Linked DNA regions of Cricetulus griseus. The protein of the gene in region 3 purifies or fractionates together with the protein of the main gene of each other region. This does not show direct contact. Links are inferred from orthologs where the notes say so. Each region holds a gene or a part of one and is shown on either strand. Other genes may lie near its edges.

Evidence for each region.
Region 1: the proteins of importin subunit alpha-5 (region 3) and Rbm45 purify together in Homo sapiens (co-immunoprecipitation; 3 studies listed by BioGRID and IntAct, with this or other methods). This does not show direct contact. The link is inferred for Cricetulus griseus from reciprocal best matches to the Homo sapiens genes KPNA1 and RBM45.
Region 2: the proteins of importin subunit alpha-5 (region 3) and Adnp purify together in Homo sapiens (co-immunoprecipitation; 3 studies listed by BioGRID and IntAct, with this or other methods). This does not show direct contact. The link is inferred for Cricetulus griseus from reciprocal best matches to the Homo sapiens genes KPNA1 and ADNP.
Region 4: the proteins of importin subunit alpha-5 (region 3) and Anp32e purify together in Homo sapiens (affinity purification with mass spectrometry; 4 studies listed by BioGRID and IntAct, with this or other methods). This does not show direct contact. The link is inferred for Cricetulus griseus from reciprocal best matches to the Homo sapiens genes KPNA1 and ANP32E.
Region 5: the proteins of importin subunit alpha-5 (region 3) and Ctdspl2 purify together in Homo sapiens (affinity purification with mass spectrometry; 3 studies listed by BioGRID and IntAct, with this or other methods). This does not show direct contact. The link is inferred for Cricetulus griseus from reciprocal best matches to the Homo sapiens genes KPNA1 and CTDSPL2.
Region 6: the proteins of importin subunit alpha-5 (region 3) and Cdkn2aip purify together in Homo sapiens (co-immunoprecipitation; 4 studies listed by BioGRID and IntAct, with this or other methods). This does not show direct contact. The link is inferred for Cricetulus griseus from reciprocal best matches to the Homo sapiens genes KPNA1 and CDKN2AIP.
Region 7: the proteins of importin subunit alpha-5 (region 3) and Tcerg1 purify together in Homo sapiens (co-immunoprecipitation; 3 studies listed by BioGRID and IntAct, with this or other methods). This does not show direct contact. The link is inferred for Cricetulus griseus from reciprocal best matches to the Homo sapiens genes KPNA1 and TCERG1.

Annotation. Positions count from the first base shown.
Region 1 is NC_048599.1:98,661,896-98,665,962, reverse strand, and holds the start of Rbm45 (RNA-binding protein 45), read left to right. Parts: upstream 1-1,267; 5' UTR 1,268-1,383; coding exon 1,384-1,719; intron 1,720-2,914; coding exon 2,915-3,037; intron 3,038-3,453; coding exon 3,454-3,580; intron 3,581-4,067. UniProt on the Homo sapiens protein: RNA-binding protein with binding specificity for poly(C). May play an important role in neural development.
Region 2 is NC_048599.1:11,176,957-11,181,027, reverse strand, and holds the start of Adnp (activity-dependent neuroprotector homeobox protein), read right to left. Parts: upstream 2,801-4,071; 5' UTR 2,669-2,800; intron 807-2,668; exon of another isoform or gene 666-806; intron 1-665.
Region 3 is NC_048597.1:53,639,384-53,641,892, reverse strand, and holds part of importin subunit alpha-5, read left to right. Parts: intron 1-674; coding exon 675-853; intron 854-1,115; coding exon 1,116-1,303; 3' UTR 1,304-2,509. UniProt on the Homo sapiens protein: Functions in nuclear protein import as an adapter protein for nuclear receptor KPNB1. Binds specifically and directly to substrates containing either a simple or bipartite NLS motif.
Region 4 is NW_023276806.1:60,586,061-60,590,353, reverse strand, and holds the start of Anp32e (acidic leucine-rich nuclear phosphoprotein 32 family member E), read left to right. Parts: upstream 1-1,493; 5' UTR 1,494-1,817; coding exon 1,818-1,871; intron 1,872-4,020; exon of another isoform or gene 4,021-4,040; intron 4,041-4,293. UniProt on the Homo sapiens protein: Histone chaperone that specifically mediates the genome-wide removal of histone H2A.Z/H2AZ1 from the nucleosome: removes H2A.Z/H2AZ1 from its normal sites of deposition, especially from enhancer and insulator regions.
Region 5 is NC_048599.1:56,446,588-56,450,087, reverse strand, and holds part of Ctdspl2 (CTD small phosphatase-like protein 2), read left to right. Parts: intron 1-522; coding exon 523-601; intron 602-3,252; coding exon 3,253-3,364; intron 3,365-3,500. UniProt on the Homo sapiens protein: Probable phosphatase.
Region 6 is NW_023276807.1:39,004,121-39,008,288, forward strand, and holds the start of Cdkn2aip (CDKN2A-interacting protein), read left to right. Parts: upstream 1-1,368; 5' UTR 1,369-1,747; coding exon 1,748-2,001; intron 2,002-2,428; coding exon 2,429-2,559; intron 2,560-3,643; coding exon 3,644-4,168. UniProt on the Homo sapiens protein: Regulates DNA damage response in a dose-dependent manner through a number of signaling pathways involved in cell proliferation, apoptosis and senescence.
Region 7 is NC_048595.1:195,373,784-195,377,283, reverse strand, and holds part of Tcerg1 (transcription elongation regulator 1), read left to right. Parts: intron 1-3,115; coding exon 3,116-3,295; intron 3,296-3,500. UniProt on the Homo sapiens protein: Transcription factor that binds RNA polymerase II and inhibits the elongation of transcripts from target promoters. Regulates transcription elongation in a TATA box-dependent manner.

The DNA.
Region 1 (4,067 bases), on a different chromosome or scaffold from region 3:
GCCTGGTTCTGTTACTTGAGCCTCTTAACTTTGGGCCTAAGATTCCTCATCTCTAAAGAATGAGGCTAGGATCTCATGCCTTACAGGCTCCTTTCAGCTGTCAGGCTCTATAGTTTTAACTGTCTTAGTCAGGTTTGCATTGCTGTAAAGAGACACCATGACCATGGCAACTCTTATAAAAGAAAGCATTTAATTGGGTCTTGCTTATTGTTTCAGAGGGTTTGTCCATTGTCATCATGGTGGGAAGCATGGCTGCAGACAAGTAGATATGGCTTGGGCTTCTGAAACTCCCAAAGCCCACCCCAAGTGACATACTTCCTCCAACAAGGCCACATCCACTCAGATAAGGCTACACCTCCTCTCCAATAGCAGCACTCCTTAATGACCAAACATTCAAACATAAGAGCCTATGGGGGTCATTTCTATTCAAACCGCCACAAATTCTGTCTATAGTGACTCTAAATTGAGCTTATGGTCAAAATGGTGACAAGGACTCCCTGTTGTCATCAAAACTTCAAACTCCCCCAAGTCTTCTGTTTGACTTTTCCAAACTTCCATGTCTCTGATAAATCAGGGCAGTGACGCCTCACTGCTATTAATATCTGTCACTCTGGCCTGCCTGCAACATGAATTCTGTGAAGCAGATCTATCAAGAGTCCCTCTTATCCCCTCCCATTTCAGTAATTTTTCATTTAATGACTTTCATACTACCCTGTCATAAATATTCACTTCTCTTACGGGAACCAAGTCCAGTATCTCTCCTTTGCTCCAAGAGCCATTGCACTGGCCCTTTGTTCCTGTCACCATGAACCCTTAAGAGTGAAGTCTGCCAATTTTTTATTTATTTTTGGTTTGGTGTTTTTGTTGTTGTTTGTTTTCTTTTTGAAAATAGAGTGTTGCCCAGATGCTGGCCTCGAACTCACTATGTAGCCCGTGAGGCCTCCAATGTAGCAATCTGACAGACTGGGATAACAGGCATGTGTCACCGCATCATCCAGTTTATCTTTTAAAAGGGTGAAGAGTAATCGTTTTGTAACAACACATTCTGGGCTTAGAAGAAGCCAGAAACCAGCTTTGGGAAGGCTTGAGCATCTGGCAGGTGGGTCTTTTTGGCAACAGGGCAACCTAGCTTGCACAAACTGATTCTTGGTTTCCATGGGACTGAGATTTGGGACTGCTCAGAGTCCCCCGCGGCGCCAGGGGGCGCTGCGGAATGCTCCCGGAAGCCAGCCTCGCTCTCTGTGGGACAGCACCTGCCTCCGGGCTCTGGGCTTTCCGGAAGCGGAGCTGTGGACCCGCGGCCGCGGCGGCCGGCTGGTTGGCGGCCGGGCTGACTGAGCCGGCGGAGCCCCGCGCCTGGCTCCCTCCCCAAGGTGGAGCACCATGGAGGACTCCAGCAGCTCCGCGGGCAGCGGAGGCTTCCGCCCCGGCGTGGACAGCCTGGACGAGCCGCCCAACAGCCGCATCTTCCTGGTGATCAGCAAGTACACGTCCGAATCGGTGCTGAGGGAGCGCTTCTCGCCCTTTGGAGACATCCAGGACATCTGGGTGGTGCGCGACAAACACACCAAGGAGTCCAAGGGCGTCGCCTTCGTCAAGTTCGCCCGAAGCTCACAGGCCTGCCGGGCTATGGAGGAGATGCACGGACAGTGCCTTGGCCCCAATGACACCAAGCCCATCAAGGTGCTGCACTGGGGTGCCTACGTTAGGGTGTGTGAGGTAGAGATGCTCGGTTTGGGGGGTCTTGGGTGACGGTACCCGGGTTGGGGTAGCTGGGGTAGGGATGCCCGGGTCAGAGTGTCTGGGATAAGGGTGCCCGGGTTGGGGTTGTCTCGGGTAGAGGTGCCAGGGGTTGGGGTGTCAGCGGAGGCTAAGACGGTGTGGGTTAGGGTCTCTTCCCGCACCTTTGCTGCACCCGGGATGATGTGTATCAGGTAGTAAAGGAGTTGGAATCTGCTCCCAGGAGCTCTCCCAGGAGGAGAGGAGGAGAGGAACCCCGCCCATGCATGGGTCTGGAATGGCTAGGAGGAGAGGAACCCCGCCCTGTGGCCAAAGGAGCATCTTCCCCTGGGAACAGATTGGGTAGCCACAGCCAAGGACAGCGCAGCCATCCATGGCTGTCACTTACCATAATTCAGTTGACCCCTACCTCTTCCTGTCTATTGGGAGAACGTTTCTGACCCACCTCTCTCGGACACTTTGATTAACCTTTGCTACTAGATAATTTAGTTTTAGTGTTTTTTTTTTTCTCAAGTATTTTATTTTTACAAAGTTCAAGGGATATTACAGTACCAGCCTGTACTCACAAGATTATCAAAGTAAAATTATTTTGTGACAAGCTATGCTACAAACTAGAGAGGGGCAAACGTTTCAGGGGTTGGGGGAGTTCTGGCGTTGGTTTTACAAGAATTGGCTGGGTTGGAGTCTCTCCCACTTCTGCACCAGGATGCTGTGTATCAGATAGGGAAGGAGTTAAACCGTGTGAAAACAAGGCGAACAAGTAGTGATTCATGTCTTGTGTAGATCCAAGCCTTTATCAAAGATTGTAAACAGTTTAAACTCTAAAATTTAGACATCTATGATCTGATGGCTCCTCTGATCTCATTTTCCCCGTGGCCCCTTTTTTTCCTCTAATGTTTGCATTTTCTTGGAGCCTCTCTTGTGTCTTCCTTTGGATACTTAATTCCTGATGCATCGACTAGATTGACTTAGTCATTTATACTAATACCCCAGTTGTTAGTTGCATTTTGGTTTGTTTTTGTTTTATAGTATCTTCTTTTGGGGGGAACAGGGTCTTCCCATGTAGACTATGCTGGCTTTGAACTTAAGATCTGCTTGCCTGACTTCCTGAGTGCAGGGAGTACAGTATAGGAGTACAGTTAACATTATTCTGAGGGCTTTGTATGTTTCTTAGGTTTTCATTGCTCAGTCCCGATCATCAGGAAGTCACAGAGATGTTGAAGATGAAGAACTCACAAGAATCTTCGTTATGATACCAAAGTCCTATACAGAGGAAGACCTACGGGAGAAATTTAAGGTGTGTGTGTTCTTATCACAACTCCATTTTCAACACTGTACAGTTACTAACAACTCGCAGTAGTAGCGAGTGTCCCCTCTGCCCAGACTTCATCCTAAAGTATAGGCTGAGAAAGTAAAGTACAAAGCCAGGGTGTTTTCATTAAAACCACACAGCTAATAGGTGGTGGTGCCAAGATTTAAACCTGCTGTGCCCCCAGAACCTGCCCTGGGTCTTTAAAAATCTCAAAGCACTTCTTGGTTCTCATTTCTCTTGCCTCTCTGTAGAGTGAGTCGCAGGCCTGAGTCAGGCTGGAGCAGGTAAGCTATGTTGACTAATACTTACCATGGCCTGTGCTATGTTGACATTGTACTCATTCACGGAAAGGTTTTTCCTCCAAGTGGTTTTGTCCTAAAATTTGGCTTTAACTCTTGTAGGTGTATGGTGACATCGAGTATTGCAGCATTATTAAAAATAAAGTCACTGGAGAAAGTAAAGGTCTGGGCTACGTGCGATATTTAAAACCATCACAAGCCGCCCAAGCAATAGAAAACTGTGATAGAAGTAAGAGGTTTTTTTTTAAGTTTTGTTTTATGTGTGTGATTGTTGTGCCTGAATGTACATCTGTGTCTCACATGGATGCAGTGCCTACAGAGGCCAGAGGCCAGAGGACGAGATCAGATCTCCTGGAACTGGAGTTACCGGTGGTTGTGAGCCACTGTGTGGGTACTGGGAAGGGAAACGAGGTCCTCTGGAAGAGCAACACATGTTCCTAACCACAGAGCCATCTTTCTGTTTCCAGAAGTGTTTGTTTTTTATCCTTGCTAACGGGCCTTTTGGAAAAGAATTCTCATTATTTTAAATAAAAGGGTCTATTACTAGATTTTTGCTAAAGTTAAGTAAGTAGTGAGTAAATATATGATATTTGAATTATAAATATATGACTGAAGGATGGAAATGTTTTGGACTTATGAACTAGCCATGTGCTGAAGCCATCTTGGTGACTGAGTTGTCAAGATGAACTGAGTTATCACATAAGCAGGGGGCATAC
Region 2 (4,071 bases), on a different chromosome or scaffold from region 3:
ATAATGGATTCTGTAAATACTAAAGATATATAAATACATAAAATGTGAATCCAGTGCAGTCTCTCAGGGCAATACTGGCACCAAGGTGCCTCCTTTTCACACAGAAAAAGTTACCTTGTGGCAACCATCTAACAAAGAAAAAAAAAATCTTCAAGCACTAAATGGTAAACTATATATCATACACATCCATTTGGCATCCCATAAATTTATCTTGGCATGTCTATGTAAGATGTTTGTAATAGTAGGATAAAGTATCCACAGGTATCAACACCCATTGTCAATCTTCCCAAGCAAGAACAAGTGCAGGAACTCCTACCAGGCTAATCTTGATCTCTATCAATGACCCATTGCCCCCAACTCCCTTTAACCAAGTTAAGAAATTAAGGCTCTTAGAAGCTTAGCAAGTCTTGAGTTTACTTAAAACTTTATGCCCAACAGTACAGACTGCAAATGACTATAACACCATCAACTTTAAAATTCTCTCTATTAAAAGAGTCACATTTCTAACATGTTCAGAATTCTACTACTGCAACCAACTCTAACTGGTTCCTTGAGGAATATGGCTAAGCTGAAATTTTGGAAGGGTACATTTTGGTGGTGACCAAGGAGGAAGTATCTGGCTTCCCTGATGCTTCAGCACCCACCCTCCAAAATGATATACCCACCGGTGTGAATTGACAATGTAGTCCAAAGAGCAAGGCAGGGAACGGAGTCCAGATCCTCAAAATGGCAGTACAGGGAATAACCACTAGGCCACCTATCAGCTCAGTACAAAAAGTGCAACCCTGTGCATCACGGTGTAAAAGCTGGGGCCTAGGTTTCGTACTGTGCATCTCACACCTATGGAAATAACAACAGGAGTAAAATCTACGGAAATCCACACACCCTAAGAAAGTGGTGCACACCAAGCCTGGTGTCAACACTTGCAAAGGCAGTTGGCTACCGACAGAACACACTGCTGGAAGACTGAAGTTGGAAGGCAACAAAAATTTGCAATCAACTCTATTAAGTTTGACAATGAAGAACTCAATAAGGATCTGATGTTTACCAACAAAGCCTTGCAAATCATGACACCCATTTCTCATGGCTATGAAAATCACCACCCCATAAAAACCTCTTAAAAAAATGACTTTTCACTCTCAAAAGAGCTGGAGAGATTTGGACTGACCAGTGATACCCCAAGCCCATTACTTTCAGATTTAAAACACCCCCTTTACCATCTGGCCTAGGAAAGAGATGTTGACGCATCCAAACCTGAAGGTTGAGAAAGGGAACCTATGACCTAAGGATGTGCATGAAGGTGACTGATCAGCAACCAAAGTCTGAGGGTGAACAGTTTGGAACAAGTAAAAACTTTCCAAACGATGATGTGGCTTTCTTAAATAAAAATCTCTCTGTAGGCTCACTTCATCCTTCGCCATGTTGCTGTCAGCTCAACTAAGTGCAAGTCTTGCTGGACCCATTTTCGATTGGTCTGTAGAAGGCGCTGTTAAGCACATCCTGTTCCAGTTCTGGGGCCCTTCCCCCCTCTGCAGCCTTACCCAGTGCAGAGAATGCGCCCCCTACTGACTCCAACACTCATTGCCTTTAACCGAGTTGGCTGCGGTGCATTTTGGGTGGGGGCTGGTATTTTCTTCATGGCCATAAACCAGAAGCAACAATGCAGATTTATAAAGAAACTGCACAAAGCTATCCAAGAGACAGGCCCCCCCCCCATCCTGAAGGTTCAAGACACAGGCACAAGAAGCATCAGGGATGGGAACTGGGCGTTTGGGGTTGGACAGTATTAAAATGGCTAACACAGGAAACAGTTTGGTTCTTTTTCCCTCCTAAGCCTTTGTCTGTGAAATGGGGTTATGACAAGAACTGTCCAGAGGAACTGGTTGGTGACTGAAGAACACTGAGAAGACACTTGCGGTGTGTGGCAGGGAGTGAAGCTAAAACGGGTGTTAGACTTCAAAGCCCGATCTTGGACACAAGAGGAAGAGAAGCAATCGCGCCTTTTCTACCAGACAGGCATCCAGGTGGTGGGGTGGGGTGGGTGGGTGGCTGAGGACGAGGACAGGCAGCCCAGAGGAAAGAAGAGGTGAATGAGAGGGTGCTCACAACTACTCCCCATTCATTGCATTCGACAAAAAGCTTTTCGCGGCTTTCTGGATTTCCATTTTCTGACTGCAAAGTTGAGTATCAGAAAGCTCTAAAGGGTAGTGCTGAGCAGGCAGCCGGGAGCGAGAGCCGGGCTGGCGAAGGGCTGGCTGTGCTTGTTGGGATGGGAGGGAAGCAGGCATGTTGTCGGGGTGGCAAAGACTTTCCCTCCGTGCCATGCACTCCCCGCCCCCCAGGCCGCTCCCCTCCCCCGCAGCCTAGGGTGGGCAGACCTGGCAGAAGGCTGGTTCCGGGGACCGAGGGCGGGCGTGGGGGGAGGGGGCGAGGGATGAGTTTGGGGGCCGAGAGAGCGGGGTCCTGTTGGGGGCGGGGTGGGTGCGGGAAGATGCCACCAGCCTGCCGGCCGGCCGGCGGGCTCTCGGGGCGGAGAGGGGTCGGGCTGCAGGAGGTGGAGGGCAGAGGCCGGTGGAGGGCAGTGTGCGCGCGGAGCACGAGGACCGCGCCCGGGACCGGAGGCCGGCAGGGCCGGGCCGGGCCGGGCAGGGCAGGGCCGCGGGCTTACCTTGGCTCGGCCTCGAGGCGTGCGCGGGGCCGGCGTGCTCCGAGGCCCGGCGGCGAGCGGGCGGCGGCACGGCGATGGCGGCGAGGACGCGCCCGGGGCCTCGTCGCGCTCGGGCTCCGGCTCCGGCTCGAGCCGCGGCCGCGGCTGCTGCCGGGGGCGCGGCGGGCGCAGCAGAGCGGCGGGCGGCGGCGCGGGCAGTGCAGACAAAGGAGGGGCGGAGGGCGGCGGAGGGCGTGGGGCCGCGGCTTCACCGTCGCGGGCCGGCGGGCGGCACAGCCGCGCGGCTCCTCGGCGGCGGGGACCGAGAGAGGGAGCTGTGTCTGAGGAGACGCCAAATCCCCCCGAGCGCGGCGCGGCGGCGGCGCGGAGGGGGAGGGGGCCAAGATGGCGGCGGCCGGGGGCGGGCGCTCAGCTCATGGTCCCGGCGGCGGCGGCGGGTGGACGGGCCGGCGGCGCGGCGGCGGCGGGCGGGGGAGGGGGCTGGTCCCGCGTCTCCCCTCAGCAGACAATACAAGCGCCTCAGAGCGAGTCCCCGAACCTGCCCTAGCCAAAATGGCGGCCGAGAAAGAGCGGAAGTGACGTAAGCCCCTCATTAGCATAAGAGGACTCATTGTCCAGCTCCTGGGGGGGCGGGGGGCCAGGCCCCCTGCACCGGGACCCTCGGGGGACCGCTCTCCGGCCGCGCGCCGCGCCGACCCCCACTGCTCCCGCCGGAGGGTGCCTTCAGCACCCCCAACCTAGCCTGGGGAGATTATATAACCCCCACTCTGGGGAGCTCTCGCGAGAACTTGGAGGCTTCCCCATTGAGCCGCTAGGAGGCGCCGTGGATAATGGCCGCAGTGCGCTCCTGGGTGCCTTCCCTTCCCTTCCCTTCCCTTCCCCTGGCCGCAGCGCCGCCGGCGGAGGCACAAGCAGCGGGCCGCAGCACGCTCCGACAATCAGTCAGGTGGCTGTGCTGGGGATCCCTGCGCGGGCCCATCTGGGCCTGGACTACATCTGGAGGGAGGGTGCGCGGGCGGCCCCGAGGCTCCACGTGCTCACAGAGCGTGCTCTCACAGGCTGAGAGGCAAGGCGGAGGGCTGAGCCTGATGCCTCCAGCCTGAAGTGAGGTGTGATGCCCTCGTGCTTCACACATTCTCTTGAGATGACATGGCTCTGGGGCCATGTCAGCTCTTCTAGTGGGTTGCTGTGGGATAACAGGTGGACAAGGGCTCAGCTTTACAGTTCTGCTGTTTCTTGGACTCAAGACATTCTTCCAAGTCATCAGATGGCCATTTCTCCTTGACTTAAATAAGAAAAAGTGGGATTTGTAGAGTTGAGGCCATCGAACTCACGATGCTGAAAGATGAAAAGTTCTGGTGGTCCCCCAATTTCAGCATGACAATACATGGACTGTTGGCTTT
Region 3 (2,509 bases):
ATTTTTGAGTTCTAGGCACTTACTTTGTGCAAGTACAGTGTCAGCTTTCACACATTTTGTCTGTCTTCCACTTGCATACTATGGCATACATGCCCCTAATCAATCGACCAGTCAGTCGATAAATGTAGTAAAATTGTTATTATTTTGAGGCAGGATCTCACTTTGTTAGCCTTGGCTGGCCTGCAACTCCATAGGTAGACTAGTGTGGCCTCCAGCTGCCAGATTCACCTGCCTCAGCCTCCTAAATTGTAAGATAAAGACATGTGCCCCCACTCCTATTGTGCTAGTTATTTTTCCTGTCAGCTTGACCTAAGCTAGTTGAGAAAATGCCTTCATTACTCTGTTTTGTAGGCAAGCCTGTGTGGCATTTTCTTGATTAATGATTGGTAGGTGAGGGCCCAGCCTATTGTGGCTGGTGTCATCCTGGCAGCTGGTCCTGGGAGGTAGTGTAAGAAAGGTAGCTGAACAAGTGTCGGCTGGTAAGTAGTCTGTTGCCCTGCTTGAGTTCCTGCCTTGGTTTCGGAATTTCTAAGACAAATAAACTCTTTCCTCCCTAAAGTGCCATAGTTACAGTTTATTTTTATTTCTACAACAAGCTTGAAGATGCCTCACAGATAAAAACCTAACAAAGTTAAGTATGACTAAACTGTGTTTTATTGTTGTTTGTTATCCAGGTACCTAGTAGAACTGGGTTGTATCAAGCCACTTTGTGATCTCCTCACTGTCATGGACTCAAAGATTGTACAGGTTGCCCTCAATGGCTTGGAGAACATCCTGAGGCTTGGAGAGCAAGAAGCCAAAAGAAATGGCTCAGGCATTAACCCTTACTGTGCTTTGATTGAAGAAGCATATGGTGAGATACTTAGACTGGGTCAGCCTTTGGAGTTAGGAAATAGACATAGGCATATAAAAACACGAATATAGTAGGTACTGGGTGATACTGGCTGTTACAGAGCTTGTTACTAAGATGTTGGTTTATAATATTAGCATTCAGATATAGTAGTAATCATTTTTATATGAGCATACAAGATATGTGAGAATGTTTATATCAAAGAAATAGACTTGAAAATGTAGTTAACTAGGATTTTCAAAAAGATTCTTATTCTTCTTTTTAGGTCTGGATAAAATAGAGTTTTTGCAGAGTCATGAAAACCAGGAGATCTATCAAAAGGCTTTTGATCTTATTGAGCATTACTTTGGGACCGAAGATGAGGACAGCAGCATTACACCCCAGGTTGACCTTAGCCAGCAGCAGTACATCTTCCAGCAGTGTGAGGCTCCTATGGAAGGTTTCCAGCTTTGAAGCAATCCTCTGCTTTCTTGTTCCTGTGTCAGACCAGGCTACCCAGTCAAGTCCTCTTGTGGAGCCCACAGTCCTCATGGAGCTAATTTCTCAAATGTTTTCCATAATACTGTTTGCGCTCATTTGCTTGCCTTGCGCACCTGCTCTTTTACACACATCTGGAAAACCTCTGGCTCTCTGTGGTGGAATACCCTTTTATTACAAGGGTAACCAGAATGGCCCACTCTCTTATGGAAAAATCCCTAAGCTTTGGAGATCCGCACTAATATTAGAGTCATGGGGATATACACATATTAATGTGGCTCCCTTTTTTGTGGGGGAAAAGAGGACTCTTCCTCATTCCGTAAAGTGGGGAAAATGACATTAAAGATAAAACTAAAACCTTTATCTTGAATTTTACACAACTACTTGGACAAGGGAGATACTTAGACTTGTGCATACATCAGAGTACCTTCTCGAGTTCTTCCACAGTGAACCAACCCTTGGAGTACCCGGTGGCTTTTTCTAGCCAAATTTGCATTAATCCTTATTGAGATAGGATGGTTTTCTTTCCTCTAATGGAGTCATTCTTCAGATATTAAAGTTAAACCATCCACTCCCTCACCTTCAGCCTTCAGTGAATGTGCTTCTAGTTGTCAGGAATGCTGAAGAATTAACAATTTGACTTTTAAATGTGATACTGGCTTGGCAGATTCCCTTACAGCAGAAAGAGAGGAGCACAGATTAATGTGTATGGCTTCTGCTTCTCTTTGGTTTTATGTCTCTTGGAAGTAGTTCAGTTTTAACACTGGTATGAAGATAAAAGTCCTTAGTAAAACCATGTTCTAAAATTCAGTTAGAGTCAGAAGAACATAGAACCCATTACTTTCTCTAAACCAGTGTGACTAGAGGCTGTGTTACTGCATTACAAGACTCAGGCTTTGTGGTCCTGATCAAGGTCCTGGTAAATTGGAGTTCACCCTAGGTGCTTTTCTTCTTTGTGACTGGCAGATAACACGTATTTAAATGTTACTTAGGGATTTTTTCCCTTAGTCAAGTGCAGCGCGATTCTAATGTATCATGCTGCATACATGATCCTGCAGTGCAGCATCCTTATCTTTAAAAGCTAACAGTCTCCTCAAAATGACCTCTAAACTAAAAGGGCAGTGATCTTTTTCTAATAACCTCAGTGTTCCCTGGTTTTATTTCATCTCCTACTAGTACCCT
Region 4 (4,293 bases), on a different chromosome or scaffold from region 3:
AAAGGTGCTTGCTGCCAAACCCGACAGCTTGAGTTTGAACCCAGGAACTAGCTCAGTGGAAGGAAAGCACTTGACTCCTGCAGGCTGTCCTCTGACTTCCTATACATCGCAAAATAAGTAAACAAGTGTAAAGAAGCTTGGCGATGTTGGCACACGCCTTTAATCCCAGCACTCTATCTTTCATTTTATTTTACATTTTTTTTTGGTTTTTCGAGACAAGGTTTCTCTGTGTAGCTTTCCTATCCTGGCACTCTCTCTGTAGACCAGGCTGGCCTCGAACTCACAGAGATCTGCCTGCCTCTGCCTCCCGAGTGCTGGGATTAAAGGCGTGCACTACCAACGCCCGGCTCAGTACTCATTTCTTACTTAGGTTTTCAGTTTTTGTTTTGAGATAGAGGCTGGCCTAGAACTCACTTTGTATACCAGGCAGTTCTGCCTGCCTCTCCCTTCGGAGGTCTGTGACCATTATGCTTCGTGTGTACCATTATGCTTCGAATTACAGAAACATTAAGTAGACTTTCTTTTTAAAATGTATTTGAGTGTTTTGCTTTAATGTATGCACACGCACATCTGGCCCTGGAGCCTGTGAAGGTCAAAAGAGGCTATTGAATTCCCTGGAACTGTAGTTATGGATGATTGGGAGCCCTCATGTGGGTACAGAACCAGGGTCCTCTGCAAGAGGACATCGTCTCTTCAGTGCCTCACATACACTTTAAAAGAACACTTTAAGTAGATTTCTGCAGGAAACTTACCAAAGGGAAATGGGAAATTGGAAATTGTGTTTTCTTTAGGCCCGTGCTGCTTTTCCTCCAAGGTCCCAACTATTTGCCAGCGACAAATGACCTCAGTATCAACTCCCACAGGACAGTTTTATTTAAAGGTTTCTGACTCAACGTGCTAAACTCAACTGCTTCCAGAGTCGTTTCGCCTTTGACAGTGGAAGTTAAAATACCTTCTTTATCACGCTCTGGTGAACGCCAGGGCCGTTCGAGACGGGGAGGTGTCCCGAACTCGCTGCTCTTGCGTTGAGTCCCTGGCTCACTGGGTAAGCCGCATAGCAGGGAGCTTGTGCTTTAAGACTACCGAAAGCTCTGGAGTGCGGTGCGCTGGATGACCGACCCGCTTACACCCTGGGGACGCCAGCGACGCCCTTTCCCTTCCTCTAACCCCGAAGCCAGAAAGCCCTCAAACAAACAAAAACAAATTCAATAGACAGCCAAACCGTCCCACTAGCGAGGGAAAGCGCGCCAATCACACAAAGAAAAGGAGGGGGGCGACTGGGATTCAAAATCGTTTCTCCGGGACGTACATCCTCCCGGACCTATCGGAATTAACTGCGCGCTTGCTCAGAGCCAATAGACCCCGAGTTTCTGGTCCGGGGCCCCCCTAACGACGGATGGGCAGTCCTCTAAGCCAATGGAGTGGCGCGACGCTAAAGGCTCGGCCAATGCAGTCGGGAGGTGGGTGGAGCGTAGGCCAGGGGGTTGGCGGTGCCGTGTCATGGAGGCTCAGTCTCGCAGCAGCCATTGAAGGGGAAGGAACTGCGGGCGGGCGCGCGCGTGTCTCTCTCTCTCTCTCTCTGTGTGAATGTGTGTGCGTGCCCGTGTGTGCGCGCGCGGGTGTGTGGACTAGAAGGTGGGGGCAGCCGAGTTAGTCCCAAGTCGTCGGACTCCATTTGCTATTCTTTTCTTTCTCCCCCACACCCGGGTGGTAGTGGGCGTTCGTCTTTGCGTCTCTTTTCATTCATCTCCAGACCTTTAGGGGTGTTTTAGGGTTGGGGGCAGTGGGGAGGGCAGGCGAGGGGAAAGGAGGAGGACATGGAGATGAAGAAGAAGATTAACCTGGAGTTGAAGAACAGAGCCCCGGAGGAGGTGAGATGACTCAGCCCCCACCTTCCCCTCCCGCCCTGTGTCGCGAGGGGTGGGCTTCGGTGGTCCCGGTGGGTGCGCGGGGCGGACTGGGAAACGCGCCCCCACTCGCGGTGGGGGCGGGGTGTTTATTTTAAGTTTTAAATCGCCAGGCTTCTTGTGCTTAAAATGGCGAAGGGCTTAAGTTTCTAGGGGCATTTTCCCGGGCGCGCGGGGGCTCAGCCCCTCGGCGTCCCCGCAGTCTGGCGGCCCGGCCTCGCGGGGGCGGGCGGCGTGGGCGCGACCCCCGGGCCTTCGCCACCTGCGAAGTTGGTGTAACTTTCCCGCGGTGCCGCCATTCGGCCGGCCGCGGCCCGGGGCGTGGGTCTCGGGCCGATCTGCACCCTGCGCTCCCTCCGGCGGTGCCCACTCGCGGGCGGCGCGCGCCGGGCCGGCGCCGGCGCCGGGCCCGGGCGGCGGCGGAATCCCGGGACCCGACGGCGCCGGCCGCGATCCTCGTGGCGCGCGGACCTCTCTACGCAAGCCCGTGGCTCGTGCGAGCCGCGCAGTGCCGTGTGCGGTCGTCGGGAAGACTCGCGGGCTGGGAGGGGCCCCCGGAGGCGTCGCCTTCGAGCCCCCCGCCGTCGGGTTCCCTTGCGGTTCCCGCCAGGTTCCTGGGTCGGAAGCTTGGGCCGCGGCGGGCGGTGACGGCGCCTGGGGCTCGCCGGTTCGCGGCTGCTTGAAGACGAGGGACAAGGGACCGGCGCTACGGTGGTCCCTTGACGCCCTAGCAAAGGCGCCGGTCTGCCCGGCCTTCGCAGTCACCGTGCAGAGCTACCCGTGCCTGAGCCCTGTTCTTTTCTGTGGCGGGTTTGCGGGTTTCTGCCGACTTCAGCCGAGAGCGAGGTGGAGGAAACATTGTTTCTGTAAGGGTTATTATCGCTGGGAGAACTAGAAGTTTTCTAGAGCTTTTTAGAAGATTCTGGAATAACTCAAAGTTAAAAAGCTGTCCATCAGCAGGGCATGGTGACTGATACCTGTAATTCCCAGCCTTTGGAGGCCGAGGTAGGAGGATGGCTGCAGGTGGGACTCTGTCGAGCAGGGCAAAACAAATCAAAACAAGCAGTTTCTCATAAGCCTTAGGTGCAAATGTGGGCCTCTTCCCGCATCCTTTCGCCTCCAATTTGGAGAATTGCGGGACATTGCCATGGTGTAGTAACAGGTTTATATAGACAGTTTATTTTTATTTATGTTTTTGGCTTTTTAAGACGGGGTTTCTCTGTAGCTCTGGCTGTCCTGGAACTCCCTTTGTAGACCAGGCTGACCTTGAACTCGGAGATCCACCTGCCTCTGCATCCCAAGTGGGCCACCACTGCCCGCTATATGGGCGGATTATAAAGTGCCCAGTTTACTTTCTCCTTGGAAAACTTGTAAACTGGGTTGTATTGTTTTAGAATCCAAATTTGCAAACAGGAGTCCCAAGACAGTGTAGTGGCGTATTCTGGCGGAAGAACTGGGTTTCTGACACTGGATGTACAAGGCCTCTTGCTGAGCTCTCTTAGCCCTGGATAAGACTGGAATCCAAAGGCTTAAGAGGTGCCTGGCGTGATAGTGCACGCCTTTAGTTCAGTTCTATAATCCTGACACTCCGGAGGCAGAGGCAGATGGGTCTCTGAGTTTGAGGCCTATCTGATCTACAAAGCAAGTTTCTGGTCAGCCAGGACTAAATAATGAAATGCTATCTCAAAAACAAATGAACCGGAGGGTGGTTTCACACACCTTTGGTTGCAGCATTCACTTTTAATCCCAGGGTTTGCAGGCACAGATATCTGAGTTCGAGGCCAGGCTGATCTACAGAGTGAGTTCCTGGACAGCTAGGGCTACACAGAAAAACCAAAACAAAAAACAAACAACGCAAAATAAAAAAAAAAAAAAAAGGCTTAAGAATCAAGACACCCCACCATACTGAGGGTGTGACCTATTAATGCAAGTCATTTTTTTTCTAGACCTTGGCTTCCTGGTCTCTAAAAGGGATGTTATGGTTCCATTTCTGCTCATTGGAATAATGATTGCCAAAGTTACACCCAAGTAGAGAAGATGGCATTTGTTGTTCCTGATTTTTAGCCTTTAAATAAACATTTTTGTACTGGGGACAGAGAACCAGGATCTGATTAGGTCTATTCAGGTGCACTGGTAAGTTTGTTACTACATCTGGGATCTGGGGTTGGAGTGATGCTCAGTAGTCAAGAGCACTTGTTCACATGGTAGCTTCCAACTGCTACCATTCCTTCTTCCACCTCGGAAGGCACCAGGTATGCATAGAGGTATCCATATGTAGGAAAAACACCTGTACACATAAAATAAAAATAAGCCTACAACTCAGATCTAATAAGAAACCCAGTTCTGAGCTGGAAAGATGGCTCAGGAATTAAGAGTACTGGCTGGT
Region 5 (3,500 bases), on a different chromosome or scaffold from region 3:
AGCTTTGTTTTTTATATGAAACTTCTCAGGGATGGCACCACCTACAGTACACTAGACATTCCCATACCAGTCATTAATCAAGAAAATGCCCATAGATTTGCCTGTAGGCCATTCTGATGGAGGCATTTTCTCAATTGGGGTTTCCCCTTCTAAAAGGACTCTAGCTTGTTGAATTAACAAAAAACTAGCTAGCACATTCATTTTATGCTCATTTTTCTTGCTGAAAATGACAGTAATTATTAGACAGTAATAATAAATAGATTTCCGATTAGCTGATAGAAATCTTAATTCTACTAGCCATTTTGTAGTTTGCTATGTCATTGATAGTAGTAATTTCTTTTGGATATAGAGTTAAATCTGTTTTACTGAATGTCTTTAAATCTTAAATCTTGATAAATTATTTATCTTTAATCTAAAATATACAGGACCTCAAGAAGCTCTTGTATAAAGACAGTAAAAATGTGTACTTTGTCGGAAACTTCTGATGAGTGAATGTAATCTTCTTTTCCTCTTACTAAATAGCACCAGTAACTCCAGAGAGTGGTTACTCTTCAGCCCATGCAGAGGCCACCTATGAGGAAGACTGGGAAGTATTTGACCCGTGAGTTGTTTTGTAGTTATTAAATTTTCTTTCTTGAATTTTCTTTCTTGAATGATTTTCAGCTTCATGATGGAACTGAAAAATGATGTTTGTCCAGTAGAAACTGTACTTTGAATTTTGAAGTTCAACTTTTTCCTAAGTGGCAGTACATAGCAGGGTACTCTTTCATGTTGGGCAGAGAACTCTATCTCTGACTTATCCTGTGTTCTCACGAGGGCAGACAGCTGATGTTCTGCATTGTTTAACTTAGGCTTTATATTCTGTTAGTACTATATTTGTTAGTCTAGGTATATCATATGCATTTTTAAACTTACATTATTTTTGTTGTAAACATGGGAGATAAATCCCATGATAAGAGCTTGACCTGTAGGTAGGGTATAATACTTATAAGTGAGTTTTGGAGACACTAATCTGTATACTTTTACTTATGTGTTTTCAAAATTTAGTTTACTGGGTGAAGTGTTGAATTAGTTACTGCTTCATTGCTGTAACTGACAAGAAGCAACTTAGGAAGGGTATGTTTTGGTTAGTATCTTAAGTTAAGGATGCAGTCCCTCATAGCAGGAACTGTGGCAGTGAGACCCTGCTAACTGTGGCAGATAGGGGTATTCAGCTGCTGATGACTTTTTTTTAAAGATTTATTTATTTATTTTGTATACAGTGTTCTGCCTACATGTATCCCTGCAGGCCAGAAGAGGGCACCAGATCTCATTACTGATGGTTGTGAGCCACCATGTGGTTGCTGGGAATTGAACTCAGGACCTCTGGAAGAACAGCCAGAGCCATCTCTCCAGCCCTGCTGATGACTTTGTGTCTGCTATCAGAAAGCAGAGTAGTGAATGTTCTGTGCTGCTAGCTTTCTCCTTTGCCCATGGGACAGTGCTGCCCATGCTTAAATGTCTTAGGAAACACCCTTAGACACACAGAGATGTCTGTCTTCTAGGTGATTCTGTTAGATTGGTACAAAAGTAATTTGCAATCTTTGCAATGTTGAAATATATCTGATATTGGAATACTTAAATAAATGAGGTTATCCTACAAATCATTTTAATGTACATTTCTTTATTAATACACGCTTTTTATTTTTAGGTGGGTCTCACTACGTAGCTTTGGCTGGCCTGGAATTTGAAATGTAGACCAGGGTGGCCTCAAATTCACAAGTGCTGGGATCAAAGGTGTGATCCACTATGTCCGGCCCATACTGTTTATTTTATACTATGGAAATGATACGAAACAAAAAGCAAATTAAAGCCATTTTATTTTTTTGTTTGTTTAGTTTCTTTGTGACAGGGTTTCTTTCTGTAGCCCCACTGTCCTGTAACTTGCTTTATAGACCAGGGTGGCCTTGAAGTCACAGAGATCCTCCTGTTTCCTCAGTGGTGGGATTAAAGGCATGTGCCACCCAGCTCAAGCCATTTTCTTATTTGAGTTCAAAATGTGCTCTATCAGTAGCATATTTGGCCTAGAAATTGTTAGTAAACATACAGTGCAGTGGTGGTTCATGATGTTTTCCAATGGAGACTCGAGAAGGAGCTAGTGGCTGGACAGCAGAAGTTGACAAAGACCAATTGAGATCAATCATTGCTCATGAATCTCTTACAGTTATATAGGAAGTTGCTAAGTAACTATATATTCAATGGTCATTTGGTATTAGAAATAAATTGGAAACGTAAAAAGGTTTGATAAGCGGGTGCCTTATGAAGTGACTGAAAAGAAAAAAATGTTATATTAGGCCGATATCCTCCCTTATTTTAAGCTTCAAGGAATTTTCCCTGTCAGTTGTGACAGGTAAAGAGAGGTCTATTGTATACCACAACTGGCAGATGAACCCAGGGTCTGGACGAGAAGAAGCTTCAGAGCCCCTCCCCAAAGTCAAACACACCAAAAAAAGGTCATGGTCAGGGTTTGGTTGTCTGTTGCCACCAAACCTGATCACACAGATTCCTGAGCCTCGACAAAAGCATTACATCCCTGCTCTGCAGTCTAGCAGATAGGCTGAAATCTCCATAGGACTTCAAAATAGCTTTTTTTCAGGGTAAACATTTCTGCAAACACCAGCATGCAGAGAATTCAGAATCCTGAAGCCTGGATGTTTTACACTAGAGCAGTGTTCTCAACCTTCCTAATACTACTCACATCATGGTGATCTCCTACCATAAAATTAATGCATTGCTGTAATCTTGTTATAAATCATAATGTAAATAAATATCTGATATGTGACCCCTGTGAAATGGCCATTGGATCCCTAAAGGGGTTACATCCCACAGGCTGAGAACTGCAGCACTATAGGAATAAACAGATTTATTTCTTTGGTCTTCAGGAGATGAAAGATAGAAAAAAGCAAACAGTCCTTGTAGTCGAAAACATATTGATTGTTCTTACTGGGATCAATTAAGATGTGTTTGAGTCTAGTTACAGCAATTTAAAATTGAGTGACATAGCAGTTCCTTTTGTGCCAATCTAACAATCCAGTGGGATAGATAATGAAGACAAGCTGTACTGTAGGGATTAAACCCAAGGTCTTGCACATTGTATTGTATAGCAAGAATTGTGTAGCTGACCACATCCCAAGCTAATTAAAATTTAAGTTTAGTAGTGTTTGAAATACATGAAACAGAAATGTTGAAATTTTCCTAAAATTTGATTTATAGCTATTATTTCATCAAGCATGTTCCACCACTGACAGAAGAACAGCTAAATAGGAAACCTGCTCTTCCTTTGAAAACAAGAAGCACACCAGAGTTCTCCCTGGTCTTAGATCTGGTGAGTGTGCTATATCTTTCGGGTACAAAGAATAAGGGTGGAAAGAATACAAGTGAGGAAGCAGTCATATTTACTATGAATGTGTCGTGAGTGTTTTGCAAAGTTTTTATTTGAGTATATACTAATGTTAGGATCC
Region 6 (4,168 bases), on a different chromosome or scaffold from region 3:
AAGATCCGCTTGGAGGTGGGGTGGATGTCACTGGGAATCTTTGTCCCTCTTTCCAATGTGGCCATCCTGAAAGTCATTTCCTGCTTCCCACCACTCATTTGGCTTTTTTACTTAATAGGCTGAACAGTGTTGGGGCACAGGCTCATGGCTACCCGAGTTTCAAAACAAAATTACTTCATTTTGCTTGATTTTTCTGACAAGCATTTTCACAAAAAAAACTCAAATATCTAGTGAAGGAAAATTCAATTTCATAATTTATCACTATTACATATTGTTAACACTCATGCTTTGATTTCATTAATATTAGACAGACACCTGGACTTGGAAATATTAACAAGCCAGAATTGTCGGGACTTTCCACTGTGACCATCTAAAGTTACACACACACACACACACACACACACACACACACACACACACACACACACACCCATGGCACACACACCCCATGGGCTGGAGAGATGGCTCAGCAGTACACACACACACACACACACACACACACACACACACACACACACACACACACACACACACAAAATGGGCTGGAGAGATCACACACACCCAGCAGTACACACAGAAGACCTGGGTTCAATTCCCAACACCCACATAGCGCTCCAAATGCCCTGTCACTTCAGCTCCAGGACCTCCATTGCCCTCCTGCCTCCAAGGGCATCCAACACGCATATGATGAACAGTCGTACATGCAAGCAAAACATCCACACACATACATTAGAAAGGAAAAAAATACAAAAGCACGGTTGTCCTGAGGCCGGGCGGACGAGATAAACAGGTCCATTTCCACTTTGGCCCAACTGACATTAACAGTTCATTTCCACAAAGAATGCAGCTACAGGACCTGTTGGTACGGAGTTGTTTATAGCTTTTGCGTCAAAAACGTTAGAGGAAGCGGGTATTGTCTGGGTGGACCCCGGAACCTAGGAAACCGCGGAAACCAAGCCCAGAGCCTGCGGCGCAAGCGCGAGGCCTGGCTTCAAAGACCGCTTGAGGAGTGGCTTGTGCTGGTCGCTTTTCAAAGTCACACACATGCTTGTTATTTTTTTTTTAACGTCCGGGTCCCACAGGCATCCCCGCGTCCCCAAACGCCCCGAGGCTCGCCTCGCCCGGATCTCGGAAGCCTCGGTTCAGTTCCCACTGCACTGAGCAGCCCGTCCAGCTTTTGTTTATTTTGGCCGCGTGCGCCGGGACGAGCGTCTGAGGGCGGAGCCGCGTCTCCGACGACGCCCGGCCGCGACGCCCCGCCCCGCCCACTATCCCCAGCCCCGGGCGGACACTGAGCGCGGCGTCACAAAGCGCCGCCGGAACGCCGAGGCTGCGGCACAAGGCGCCGCGCGGCCTCTCAGGGTGGCGGGAGGCAGAGTCGCCTCAGCCCCGCCTCGGCCGGCCGGGCGCGCCCTCTCTCCGAGGTGGGCGCAACCGCTGAGTCGCGCGCGTCTCGGCGCCGCAAGGCATCCTGGGAGGAGGGGCCCGCGCCGGAAGGACGCGTGAGCGCGCGGCGGCGGCGAGGTTATAAAAGGGAGCGGGCCCGCGGTCGCCGGAAGTGGGCGGTTCGTCGGCGCCGTGCTCTGTTGTTTGGGGTTTGGGCCGCCGGAGGGGCGTTCTCCGGAGAGCCGCCGGTGCAGGCCGTGCTGACAGGACCGCTCGCCGCCCCGCCGCGCCGCGCCGCGCCCCGCCACTTGGCCGCCCTTCGCTCCGTGCGCTCGCGCTCTCCCCGTCCCGCAGGCCCAACATGGCGCAGGAGGTGTCGGAGTACCTGAGCCAGAACCCGCGAGTGGCAGCCTGGGTGGAGACGCTGCGCTGCGAGGGCGAGACGGACAAACACTGGCGCCACCGCCGCGAGTTTCTGCTCCGTAATGCTGGGGACCTGGTCCCCGCGACGCCCGGGGAGGCGGCGGACGCGGAAAGTGGGAGCCGCAATCGGCAACTACAGCAACTCGTCTCCTTCTCCATGGCCTGGGCCAACCATGTCTTCCTAGGGTGTCGGTGAGTGAGCAACCGTCGCCAGCCAGCCTTACCGGGCTCCCCTGCTGCTGCCCGAGGAGCCCTGGCGGGGACCAGAGTGGCTGGCGAGGGCGGGTCGGAAGCGCGGGAATCGGTGGCACTGTTGGTCCTCGGAAGGCGCCCATGGCAGCGCCGACCTAACTGTTGGCGGGTACCCGGGTTGGGTGAGCCCGGCAGCTGGAGTTGTTAGCGTTCAGCTTGGCGGTACCGGGGAGACCCTCAGTTTGAGGGTTCGCGAGCACAGACCCGCCTCCCGAGCCCCACGGTATTTGTGGCATCTCAGCAAACAAAGTTGTCGCGCGGTTGGTGCCACCAGGAAATGCAGTTTCCGTGGGCCCGCATCTCTGAACGCACTGCCGGGCGTTCCGACAAACACTTCTTGAAAGCGACTTTTGCTTCTCTTTTTCAGGTACCCTCAAAAAGTTATGGATAAAATTCTTAGTATGGCTGAAGGCATCAAAGTGACAGATGCTCCAATCCATACCACACGAGACGAACTGGTTGCCAAGGTGAAGAAAAGAGGGATATCGAGTAGCAATGGTTAGCAGATCATAGATGTGAACATACATAGGAGTTTAGAAAATAAGCTTGCTGTAATTAGGAATTGCTGTCATTACTAATTTTTAACAAGCCGGAATTTGTATAATGTATTAATCTAATTGACATGATAAAGCTAAATGTCTGTCTGTCTTGTTTTCAGTGCTGAATTCTTTAGTTTCCTTTGCTTTAGATTTTAAAGTCCAATGTCTGATGCTGTTAATATTAGAAATTAATCATGTTAATACTGTGTTTAAGATACTCATGAAGAACTGGGCAGTGGTGGCGGACACCTTTAATCCCAGCACTTGGGAGGCAGAGGCTGGCAGATTTCTGTGAGCTGGAGACCAACCTGGTCTACAAGGGCTAGTTCCAGGACAGCCTCCAAAGCCACAGAGAAACCCTGTTTCGAAGAGGAAAAAAAAAAAAAAAAGATATTCATGAAGTTATTCCATATTTTAAAAGAAGCTAGTCCTGAAATATTTTTCTGTGTTTTCGTTGTTGAAATCCAGTATGAATAGTCATGTGACCCAATCCACTGATTCCAAACAGCAGAGTGGATCACTTAAAAAGAGTGCTTTGGAAGCTTCTTCAGTCTCAGCTTCTCATGAAGTTATTCCATATTTTAAAAGAAGCTAATCCTGAAATATTTTTCTGTGTCCTTTTATTACTTTTATTTTATTTTGGTTTTTTATGACAAGGTTTCTTGATGGACAGTGATGGCACATGCCTTTAATCCTAGCACTCAGGAGGCAGAGGTAATTGGATCTTTGTGAGTTCCAGACGAGTCTGGTCTCTAAGAGCTGGTAGTTCCAGGACAGGCTTCAAAGCTACACAGAAAAACCCTGTCTTTGGGGGGGGAGGGGGGAAGGGTTTCTCTATGTCACAGCCCTGGCTGTCCTGGAACTCACTCTAGACCAGGCTGGCCTCAAACTCAGAGACTCAATTGGCTCTGCCTCCCGAGTGCTGGGATACAATCTTGTCCCACCACTGGCCAGCTCCTCCTTGTGCTTTCTTAATGAATGTTTTGTTGATTGACATGTATGTGGGTCTTCTAGTGAAATACCTGTGTTTTTCTTCTTTCTAGAAGGGATAGAAGAGCCATCCAAAAAACGAGCCATAGAAGGAAAAAACAATTCTGCAGTTGAGCGAGATCATGGAAAGAAATCTGCCAAAACAGATCGTTCCTCAGCTCAGCAGGAAAACAGTTCCGCATCCTCTGGGTCATCCACCAAATCAGAGAGTAGTGGGGCCTCAGCTCGGAGCAGCTCCACAAGTGAAGGAGATAGATCTGTGTGCAGCCAAAGCAGCAGCAATTCCTCTCAGGTAACAACAGCTGGGGCTGGAAAAGCTTCTGACCCAGAAGCTCCAGATAAACATGGCTCAGCATCGTTTGTTTCTTCGTTGTTGAAATCCAGTATGAATAGTCATGTGACCCAATCCACTGATTCCAGACAGCAGAGTGGATCACCTAAAAAGAGTGCTTTGGAAGGTTCTTCAGTCTCAGCTTCTCAGAGCAGCTCAGAGATTGAGGTGCCCTTGTTGGGTTCTTCTGGAAGTTCAGAAGTAGAGTTGCCATTACTGTCTTCTAAGTCTAGTCCAGAGACAGCTT
Region 7 (3,500 bases), on a different chromosome or scaffold from region 3:
TTTTTTAAAATGAAAGTTCATACTTCAAAACTTAATTTTTAAGATAGTTTTTGGTGAAAGCCATCTGAAACTATTATATACCTGCCATTGAAATAAAGTGTGCTGGGTGTAATTGGACTTTTTTCTTGATGGTTTAGGGCCAGTGGTTCTCCATCTTCCTAGTTCTGCGACCCTTTAATACAGTTCTTCATGCTGTGGTGACCCCCAAACATAACATTATTTTCATTACTACTTGATAACTGTGATTTTGCTATTGTTACTAATTACAATACAAATATTTGATATTCAGGATATCTGATGTAGGAACCCCCAAAAGGTCTAGACCCACAGGTTGAGAACCACTAGTTTAGGATCATTGTGATAAGGATGCTGTGAAATACAGTGTTAGAGAGTACTGACCCAAGAGATGACTCTGCGACTTTCTTGGAAGTCCTGCCTTAGCCCTAGAGTTGTTGAGATATGTAGGGAAACTGACTATTGGGGCTGCTCTGTTGTGTCATTCTTCCGTCATTGTCTTTCCTATACTGTCTCCTGTACTAGCTGGACTCTCCCTGCTACTGTCACTTCACTTCTTCCTTGCTTCTGCTGCTTTTTTTTTTTTTTTTTTGCTCTGCATCCTTGACATTTTCTGTAGTTTGAAATCTCTTTCCTTCCTGCCATTCTCTGAGTCTTTTGCTTTAATTGCAGTTGTAGTGGTTTTGTGAAGAGCAAACCTCATTGTGTCTCCTGGTTACTTGACTAGGTGAAGACTTTCCATACTCCCAGCCGTTGCCTGCCAGTCAAGTTCAACTCTATTGTTTTTTATTTTGCTTTAAAATTCAGTTCCTTTGTTGGTTGGTTTTCTCTGAGACAGGGTTTTCCTTTGTTGCCCCAGGCTGGTCTTGGACACTGGTCCTCTTGCCTTGACAGGCTTGCACCACCATACTATACCTAGCTAGTTCAGCTACTTATATAAAGTAGACTTGTCTGCTCCTTATCTATCACACTTGCTCTCCTCAGGCCTTGGTGTGCAGCTTTCTTTAACATAGGGAAGCACTCTTCTGTCTGTGACAGTCCTTCACCTTCCCACCGCAGTGACACACTCTTATTCTTGAAGAGTGCATACTGGCTGGGCGTTGATGGCACATGCCTTTAGCCCCAGCACTTGGGAGGCAAAGGCAGGAGGAAACACTATAATTAACCAGACAAAACACACCTCTCCTAAAGGCTGTGCCCCTACCTATAGCACCTTGTGTTGAGCATACACCACTGTCACACTGAATACATTTGCCCTATAGAAAATACAAATTCTGAAAGAAATGACAGTTGTTATTTTACTTAGTTGTAGTTCTGGTGCCAAACACATAATTTAGATGCTAAAGACATTTGTATTCTTTTCTTCTTTCCTCTTTTTCTGTCTTTTCATTCTATTTCCTGTCATTGTGTATAGTACTGTGCCATTGATGGTGTTGGTGAACCAACTGAAACTGTGATGCTGTTACTTTATCTTTTTTTTTTTTCAAAGTTAGTATTATAATTACATTTTGAAATGAGAGTTTGTGGTGCTTCTGTCTTTGTTCTTTGCGCTCAAGATTGTCTTGGCTTTTAAGATCTTGTGACTCCATAGGAATTTAAGAACTGTTTCTCTAATCAGTGAGTACAGAATATCGTTCAGCTTGTTTGTACTTTATTAAGTTTTTCTTTTTTGTCAGTGTTAGTTATTTACTCCTTGCTTAAATTTATACTACTATTTTTTGGGAGGGCCTTGATGCTGTTGCATATGCTATTTTCTTATACTTTACATTTTGGTTACTTGTGAAATCTTACATTTGTATGGTTGTTTTTGTATTCTCTTAACTTTACTAAATTTATCATTTCTAATAGTGTTGTAGTGGAATCTTCAGGTTTTTCTGTATGTAGTATCATGTCATCAGCAACTGGAGTCATTTTAAACTCTTACTTCCTGTTTAGATGTCTTTTTCCTCTTGCCTTCTAAAAGAACTATTTTGAGAGAAGATTTCCTAATACCTCATGCCTTAGAGGAAAAATGTTCAACTTTTCACTCTTGGAGATGATCATCTGTAACTCCTCATGGATGGTCTTTATTGTACTGGATTACATTCTCCCTATATCCAGTCTATTTACATTTATTTTTGTAAAAGTACATGTGTGACCTTGGGCCATGCAGCACGTGTGGACCTCGGAGAACAACTTTCAGGAGTGTATTCTCTCCTACCATGTGTGTTCCTGAGATTAGACCCTAGTCATTGAACTTGGCAAGTAAGCACCTACCTATTGAACCATCTTGCTGGCTCCTACTCAAGTGTTTTTGTTATGAAAGAATATTGAATTTTGTTGTTTTTCTGTATGTATTGAGATAATCATACTCTTTTTACCCTTACTGTTTATGAATGTGCACTGTCATGCTCACTAATTTCTATATATTATGACCTTTTGCTGTGGGTTAGAAATGTTTCTTCTAGTAGATGGGTTAATAAGTCCAGATTTGAGCTCAGGGTTTGTTGTACTGCTTTTTGGAGGGTGGATATTTAGTGATAAAAGACACTTAACATTTCTTTTACTTGACACAATTAGAGACAAAGTACTACTTAGACTTCTTAGTGGTCCTGACTGGAAGATGATGTGATTATCATCTTTACCCCCCACCCCAGCCTGAGTATTTTATCATGTAATTGATCAGCAGGAGTTAAAGTTTCTGTTCTACAGTAGGTTTTAGGAGACTTATTAACTAAAATGGTACTTCCATAACCTTCTTGCTTAAATTATTGGAAATGTACCATTGCTTAGTTTTTGGTTAACTTGATGGTAAGCTAATCACCTGAACAAATTCACTTACTGAACGTTGTACTTAATGTGGTCTTTTAAGACAGGATTCATTTCTGAGGTAGTCTAGTTGAAAGGATGGATCAATTGCTTTTCAGGTAATGTTTTTTAGTTTTTAAATGTGACTACCTTTGTAAAGCCCAGATGAAGTTAATCATTCCTGACTACAGTGTTGAGCTTCTTAATGTGTAAATATGCAGAGTCCACTTGGTGGGGTTTGTGTATATGTACCAAATACACACACACACACACACACATACACATACACACACACATTGTTCTTTGTTTTTAGGTACGTTCTTCCGATGTGTCATGGTCTGATACTAGGAGGACCCTCCGGAAAGATCACCGCTGGGAATCTGGGTCCTTATTGGAGAGAGAGGAGAAAGAGAAGCTTTTTAATGAACACATTGAAGCACTTACCAAAAAGAAAAGGGAGCACTTTAGGCAACTTCTGGATGAAACTTCTGCGGTGAGAATCCCCGTCTTTCATTTCTGGAATCTTCATTTATAGTTTGACGTAAAATACTGACACAATTTTTAGTGTCTTGATCAGACCCATATTTGACATTCTTTTGTGATTTTTTTCCCCCATTTTAAACGCATCACAATGTTCTCATTTGTTAGGAATTAGTTCTTTTTACAGCTTCCAGAGGTATAGCTGCTTCTCTGGTGAC